Linked DNA regions of Coturnix japonica. The protein of the gene in region 1 purifies or fractionates together with the protein of each later gene. This does not show direct contact. Links are inferred from orthologs where the notes say so. Each region holds a gene or a part of one and is shown in the gene's direction. Other genes may lie near its edges.

Region 1 (3,560 bases):
TTTATACAAAAAAAAAAAAAGAAGAAGAAGAAATAAAAAAAAAAGGGGGGGGGGGGGGGCGGCAGGGGGAGAGAAAAAGGGAAAGGATTCCATGGGAGATGTGTCTGATACACTTTGCAACTTGTATACAAATAAGGGAGTAAATTTCCTTATCTGGTTTTCCTCATCGGTTTTATTTGTCATCTTTATTGTTTCCTCATTCTCTTATTTGTGCATTCTCTGAGCATATCTTCATTTCACTTGTCCAACCACAAAACATGAATAGGGTACAGGAATTGCATGTGTATGCACTTGACTTCTTCTTTGGTTTATAGCAATTACAGTCAACTACCTATTGCCCTTCCCCTGTGGTGAAGACTGTGGTATTGCTTTGTGTGACACTACTGTTATCTTCTGTATGAAATAAAAATAGGGCCTTTTTTATTTTCTTCTGACTCCAAATATCTTCTTATCAACTCCTAGGCATACTCAGTTGCTTTAGGAAACAAGCCCAAGTACATTGTGGTACCTATTACAGGTACAGCAATCTTACTTGTTCCTTTCTTTCAAACTGTGCAATACTTGGAAACATGCAATAAAATTCTTGAAAACTACTTGCTTAGAACAAAAAATAAATTGAATTACCTACTGTTTGCTCTGTTGAAGATCGATGCAATGCTTTTAATTTGAACTATAGTAACTGAAGTTTTATGAGGAAGAAGGTATGTTTGGAAAAGAAAGTACAGTCCTGAGAACAAAAGCGTATTAGAAAAAATGATTGTATAATTGGGAGAAGGTATCCTATTAGTAAAAACATTACATGTTTTTTACCACTTTGCTCTCTTGAATAAGAATGCAGTGAGTGTAACAGCAGTATCTCACCAGTATAATAAAAACAGCTTTTGCAGTAGTATTTTCATTATTCTAAAAAACAAAAATACCACCCTAAATCTGAAACCATTATTTGTTGCTTTTTCTGCCCTGGTCTTTGTGTTGAACTGATTTTAATCATCATCTGAGGAAAGAATGTACATGCACTCTGCATGTTACTATTTTATGTACAAAACTAGTTCCCAGCTGGAAAGAGAGACATACTAGCACAGGCAGTGCTGATGTTGAAGATGAGGTGCTGAAATAGGTTGAGGACAAGCTGAACTTAAGAGTCCAGGGCAACAGGTGCAAGCTTCATGGAATACATCTGAAAGATGGTCAGGAAATGCTGCTGCAGGACTTGTGCTGAGACCAGTGTCAGAACCTCTGACTAGAAAGCAGCAGCTGAAAGCTCTTTTAATGGTCCAAATGGCAGTGTGATGGCCATGATCTTGATTCATAGAGTTAATATGAGATTTTAATGTGCTTTCCCAGTGCACAGTTTAGTTGAAACGTGAAAGCTGAAAATGGCTGTTGTAAATCCTGTTCTTTCTCTGAGGTTTCATGTACTTCATGTTATTTGGCTTGGCTCTGTAGCTCTTCTAGCCTTTTTCTCATGAAAATTAAAAAAACAAAAACCAACCAACCAAACAAAAAAAACCAAAACACACAAAGTACTGTCTTTTTCTGTCATTTTAGCACATATCTTTGCTGATATATATATTTTTTCTTCTCCAATCTTTCCTTTCCCCAAAAGAGCCTACTCCTTTCATGTTACTGCAGATGGCCAGATGCAGCCTGTTCCTTTCCCTCCTGATGCCCTCATTGGTCCGGGAATCCCTCGCCATGCCCGTCAGATCAACACTCTGAATCATGGGGAAGTTGTGTGTGCAGTTACCATCAGCAACCCCACAAGACATGTGTACACGGGTGGCAAGGGGTGTGTCAAAGTCTGGGATATCAGCCAGCCTGGCAACAAGAGCCCTGTCTCTCAGCTCGACTGCCTGGTAAGTGAACAGGAACTAATGTAGAAGGGTAACTTCACCTTGGAGACTCAATAAGGAAATAGCTGTCCTTGTCTGGATTTTGTTCATATTATAAGGAAATAGCAGGCAGTTCTGTTTCCTGCTGTATGTATTTAACTGACTTTTTTTTTTTTTTTTTTTTTTTTTTTTGTAACAATGAACAGGTGGTGTTTCAGAGAAGGAGACTGGTTTGTTTAGTGATAAATGTCATTACTAAGGGCCAAATAATAGATAAGACTTCTGAGAGCATACCTGATTCTTTCCCCATCCAAGTCATACTGGTGATCTTTGCACAGCATGGGTTTAAAAGGAAGCATGGCTGAGACAGGGACATTACATGGTGTTTCACTCATGCCAGAAATCATGGTGTCTTTTTCTGTAAGAGGGTAGTAGCCATATAAAGAAGTAGTGTGACAAGGTAGCAAGGTTACTTCGTATTGCTGTACTTTTGCTGGTTTCTATTCATATCCATCAGGTGCAAGCTGATTTGTTTGCAGTCAGTTGAAAAGCTAAATACAAAAAAATATTAAATAACAGATGCCTCTTAGACTAACGCAGTGTAGACAGCATAGAAAGAGGCAAATCAGAGTAGTGTTAACTGAGAAGGTATAACATCATAAAGCACAATAATATATATTACAGATGATAGTAATTCTTACATGTTGATCATAATAAATGTGTTTTTTCAAACTTTAACTCTCATTTGCTGATATGCCCATGTCAGTTGTCCAGTAGTGGTGTATGTATGGTTAAATATGTATTCTGTTTTGTGGCAGGTTTGTCTCTCAATGCTCAGTCCTAGCTGCATTTGCTTTAGTTACAGATCTGTATAGCTGCCAATAGCTAAGCTGACATTCCCAGTGCACTACTTGCTGCTCCCTTTCTGTGATTTTAAAACAAACAAATGAGCAAAAACACAAACAAAACCACCACCACTGCAAACAACAAACAAACAAACAAAGAAAACAACCACAGCAATCCCATAGTAGTAGAAGTGTCTTTGATTTCTACTTAGTGTTGTGGGGTTTTTTGTTTGTTTTGGGTTACTGATCCTATCCCTGCATTTCATAGTTTCGTGCGGGTTGGAAGGGACCTTAGAGATCATCGAACCAGCCCCCGGGATTCGAGCCTCTGTGTAGCAGAGCGGCACTTCTACCACTTGCGCCACAGGGGGGATTTGAACTCCGGGCCCCAGTGTTGCAAGGCGGCGTCTTTAACCACTGCGCCACTGGGGCACACAACAGTTCCTAGAGAACTGTTACTATGTTGGACAGCCAGTATGCTTAAGAAGTCAGCTTTGTAATATGTAAAGATTGAAATCTTTTCCATCTCTAAATCTTTTGTAGTATCTCCATCAGCAATAGTATCAAAAAATGTGAAACCAGTATGAGTATGACAGGAGTGATGCTGAGCAAGAGAACCAGCATAAGTCCAGTACTATAAGGGGAATATTATAACTCAACATTCTCACTTTAAAATGATGAATGTAAGATGTAATTTAAAAGAAAACTGTAAGATCTAAAAGACATGAGACTTCAACTGTATTTTCATAAGTGGTTGCTTAGATATCACATGTGAAGTCGCTTTGTTTTTTGCAAATATTCCAGTGATGCTGGTGATTGTAATTGGACTACACTTTCTCAAGTGCAAGCTTACTTTGGCACTGTCTTAATGTAATGAGATGGA
Region 2 (4,317 bases), on another chromosome or scaffold:
CAGAGCTCCGTTACATCCTCTACACTGCACTCTTCTTCAGGAGTTCCCATCAATTGGCTTCAGTGTTGTGCAAGGAAATAATTACAAATTATCACGATATTTAAAAAATAAAATACAACAGCAATTCTGAAAAAGAAAAAGCCGAAGGTAGCTGATCATTGACTTCTACTTCTTTTTGGTCAGTAGCAACCTGTTACGAAATTGGATAAATAAATACAATTGTGGTGAGGTCAAGCGAGGTTAATCCAACGCACATAGTTCGTGCCATGCCCAACTGCAATTGTTTATTGCCCATCCACAGCAATTGTTGTAGGGATTTACCCTCCCTTTCTCACAGCCGCTCTCTCACACACGCACATACTCACAAACGCATACAGAAAAGGCACAGAGCCGTGGTGGTTGCACTGGGATCTGCACTGGATTTCCCGGGACACACTGCTGGGGCAGGGCTGCGGGTGTTACACTTCAACGGAACCATTTCTCCAGCGGGACAAACATGAACTTTGGGTGGTTGAACGCAGCGACAGGCACCGGCTGTACGTTGTGTTGCACAGCGTTCATTTTAAACGTGACCAATACTCTATCGCTCACGTTTCCCCTTCTCCTTTCAGTGCGAGGAAGCTCATTTTGCTTTGTTTCGGGGCCGATTCTCATTTCTGCTCGTACTCACGGCGGTAACGCCGCGATGCGGGGAGCAGCGCCGAGCCCGGGCAGCGCGCAGCCCGCTCCGTGAGCCCCTGAACCAACGGCACCGCCGGAATGGAGCCCCCGTTCCCTTTCCCACGGCCCACACACCGAGCCCCACCGGGGCCGACGGAGGGGCTGCTCGAGGCGCTGCTCGAGGCGCTGCGCCGGTACTGGGGCGCTTAATGCGTTCGGCGGTGCTGCTGTTCCGCAGGCCTCGGCCAGAGGCCTCTACCCGCCCGGCGCTGTCTCCGCCACATCGAGCCCGAGCCCCTTCCACCGCACAGCCCCAGCCCGGTCCCAGCTTCAACGCCCGCCCCGCCGTCCCGACCCCTCCGGCTGAGTTTCGTTGCTCCCCGTTGGTTAAATAAATAACAACAGCGCGGCGGGGCCCAGGAGCACACTGCCGACGGGCGCCGTCGGGATTCGCCAAGTAGTACCTCCGCTCCGGCACCGCGCGGACGGCGCGCCCCCCCCCGGCTCCCGTCCGACTCCCGCCCCGGTAGCAAGGAGGGTCGGGGCAACTTTGCTCCACCGGAGGAGTTACCGAGCGAAACCCCGGAACCGAGCGCCGTTGGTTGGGCACGAGGGGCTTAGTGCCGTCGCGCGGAGGAGCACGGCCGGTGACGCGCCCCGCACCGGTATCCCTGCGCCGCGGGAGCCGCGACGGAGAGGGGGCGGGGCGTCGGGGGGTGGGGGCGTGTCGGCGAGCAGCCATTGGCCGGCGGGAGGCAGGACGCTCGGGCACGCCGCCGCCGCTGATTGGGCGCCCGGTGGGAAAGGTTAAACCAAAAAATTTTTTACAGGCACGGTGCGTGTGTGCAGCTCTGAAATTAATTGCGGCCGGGGCGCTCCGTAAAGCCGGCTCTGCTCCGACCCGCGGCGCGTCCTCCCCCCTACACCGCTGTACCGGGGAACCGGCACCATGAAGTAGCTTTTTTTTTTTTTTTTTTTTTTTTTTGGTGTGTGTGTGTGTGTTTGCGCGGCTTTGGGTCTTTTTTTTTTTTTTGCTGCTGGTGTTGTTTGGTTTTTAGAGGGCTCTTTTACTCCTTTTTCCTCCTCTTTTTTCCCCCCTTCGTTCCGGCTCTCTCCGCTCGGTGACCGCTGCCGCCGTCCCCCGCCCGTGCTACATGCCGTGCCAGCGCCTGACGCTGAGCTCCCGCCGCGCCGCCGCCGCCGCCGGTGGTGCCGCCGCCCGCCCGGCCCCCGCCCGCCCGGCCCTGGCCGCCGCCAGCCGCCCCCTCGGCGCAGCGTGTGATGTTGGACATGGGAGATAGGAAGGAAGTGAAAATGCTGCCCAAGTCCTCCTTCAGCATCAACAGCCTGGTGCCCGAAGCCGTGCAGAGCGACAACCACAGCGGCCACAGCCACCACAACAGCCACCATCCACACCACCACCATCACCACCACCACCACCACCCGCCGCCGCCGCAGCAGCCCCAGCGCGCCGCCGCGGCCGAAGACGAGGACGAGGAGAAGGCGCCTTTGCTGCTGCCGCCGCCAGCCGCCGGCGCCCTGGAGACGGCCAAGGCCGAGGCGCTGTCGGGGAAAGGCGAGGCGGGTTCGGCGGCGGCGGAGCTGGAGGAGAAGAAGGGGGCGGCCGAGGGGGGCAAGGACGGGGAGGGCGGCAAGGAGGGCGAGAAGAAGAACGGCAAGTACGAGAAACCTCCGTTCAGCTACAACGCGCTCATCATGATGGCCATTCGGCAGAGCCCCGAGAAGCGCCTGACGCTCAACGGGATCTACCAGTTCATCATGGACCGCTTCCCCTTCTACCGCGAGAACAAGCAGGGCTGGCAGAACAGCATCCGCCACAACCTGTCTCTCAACGAGTGCTTCGTCAAGGTGCCCCGCGACGACAAGAAGCCGGGCAAGGGCAGCTACTGGACGCTGGACCCGTCCAGCGACGACGTCTTCATCGGGGGCACCACGGGCAAGCTGCGCCGGCGCTCCACCACTTCCCGGGCCAAGCTGGCCTTCAAGCGCGGCGCCCGCCTCACTTCCACCGGCCTCACCTTCATGGACCGGGCGGGGTCCCTCTACTGGCCCATGTCCCCCTTTCTGTCCCTTCACCACCCGCGGGCCAGCAGCACGCTGAGCTACAACGGGACCGCGTCCGCCTACCCCAGCCACCCCATGCCCTACAGCTCGGTGTTGACTCAGAACTCCTTGGGGAACAATCACTCCTTTTCCACGTCCAACGGGTTGAGCGTCGATAGACTCGTCAACGGGGAGATCCCCTACGCCACTCACCACCTCACGGCCGCCGCCCTGGCCGCCTCGGTGCCGTGCGGCTTGTCGGTCCCCTGCTCCGGCACGTACTCCCTAAATCCCTGCTCCGTGAACCTCCTGGCGGGACAGACGAGTTACTTTTTCCCCCACGTCCCTCACCCCTCAATGACTTCTCAGAGCAGCACTTCGATGACGGCCAGGGCCGCCTCTTCGTCCACATCGCCGCAGGCACCTTCCACCCTGCCCTGCGAGTCCCTAAGACCCTCTTTGCCGAGTTTCACGACGGGACTCTCTGGAGGACTCTCCGATTATTTTACACATCAAAATCAGGGGTCTTCTTCCAACCCTTTAATACATTAACGTCCATGGGATCAGACTGTAAGTGAACATTTTACACACGTTCGCGTTGTAAATGATGATTGAAAAGAGAAAAAAAAAAGAAAAAAAGAAAAAAGAAAAAAAAAAAAAGAAAAACAAAAAGCCCAGGTATTTTTTATTAAGTCCCCCATTTTCTGTACGTTTGTTCAGTCTTTAGGGTTGTTTATTATGCCACCAGGGTGAGGAGTGTCAGCGAGGTGCAATGTGGGGAGATTACATTGTAGACTATGGAGTTTGGGAGACAAATTTCTAGTAGAATGTGTATCTAATAGTGACTGCTTTCGCGATTCCTATTCAAATACGAAAAGTCCATCTCTAAAGCCGCCAGATTCTCCATGTTTGCAGTATTATAAGTTATCATGGATATGTCGGTGGGTGCAGACCATGAAAAAAAGCCACTAGATTTATGAAAACTATAAAAAGAAGTGTAATTTGTATTTAAGCAGATTCATACTGAGAGATGCCCAAAAACTACGTTTTGGCCATTTATAATTTTATCTTTTTCTTTACCTAACTGCTTCTTTTTTTTTTTTTTTTTTTGGGGGGGGGGGGGGTTCTTCTTCTCCTTCTTCTTTTTTAATTCCTTTTTTTTTTTTTAATTATTATTATTTTTTTTCCTGTTTGTTTGTTTGTTTACTTTTAGACCAAAGATTGGGTTATAGAAAATGCACTCAGTGTACGGAGTAATTTAAAAGCAGCCGCATTCTTTCAGTTCGCAGCACTGCCCGTTCCAATGATTCCGAAGGGGACAAAATTACTGATTGCCTTCAGTTTGTGTTGTGTATATTTTGATGTATGTGGTCACTAACAGGTCACCTTTATTTTTTATTTTTATTTTTTCCTAAATGTAGTGAAATGTTAATACCTATTGTACTTATAGGTAAACCTTGCAAATATGTAACCTGTGTTGCGCAAATGCCGCATAAATTTGAGTGATTGTTAATGTTGTCTTAAAATTTCTTGATTGTGATACTGTGGTCATATGCCCGTGTTTGTCACTTACAAAAATGTTTACTATGAACA

Evidence for each region.
Region 2: the proteins of TLE1 (region 1) and FOXG1 purify together in Homo sapiens (affinity purification with western blotting; 3 studies listed by BioGRID and IntAct, with this or other methods). This does not show direct contact. The link is inferred for Coturnix japonica from reciprocal best matches to the Homo sapiens genes TLE1 and FOXG1.

What each region holds. Positions count from the first base shown.
Region 1 is NC_029547.1:35,427,688-35,431,247, reverse strand, and holds part of TLE1 (transducin-like enhancer protein 1), read left to right. Parts: intron 1-1,606; coding exon 1,607-1,856; intron 1,857-3,560. UniProt on the Homo sapiens protein: Transcriptional corepressor that binds to a number of transcription factors. Inhibits NF-kappa-B-regulated gene expression. Inhibits the transcriptional activation mediated by FOXA2, and by CTNNB1 and TCF family members in Wnt signaling.
Region 2 is NC_029520.1:31,592,658-31,596,974, reverse strand, and holds the start of FOXG1 (forkhead box protein G1), read left to right. Parts: upstream 1-1,479; 5' UTR 1,480-1,941; coding exon 1,942-3,276; 3' UTR 3,277-4,317. UniProt on the Homo sapiens protein: Transcription repression factor which plays an important role in the establishment of the regional subdivision of the developing brain and in the development of the telencephalon.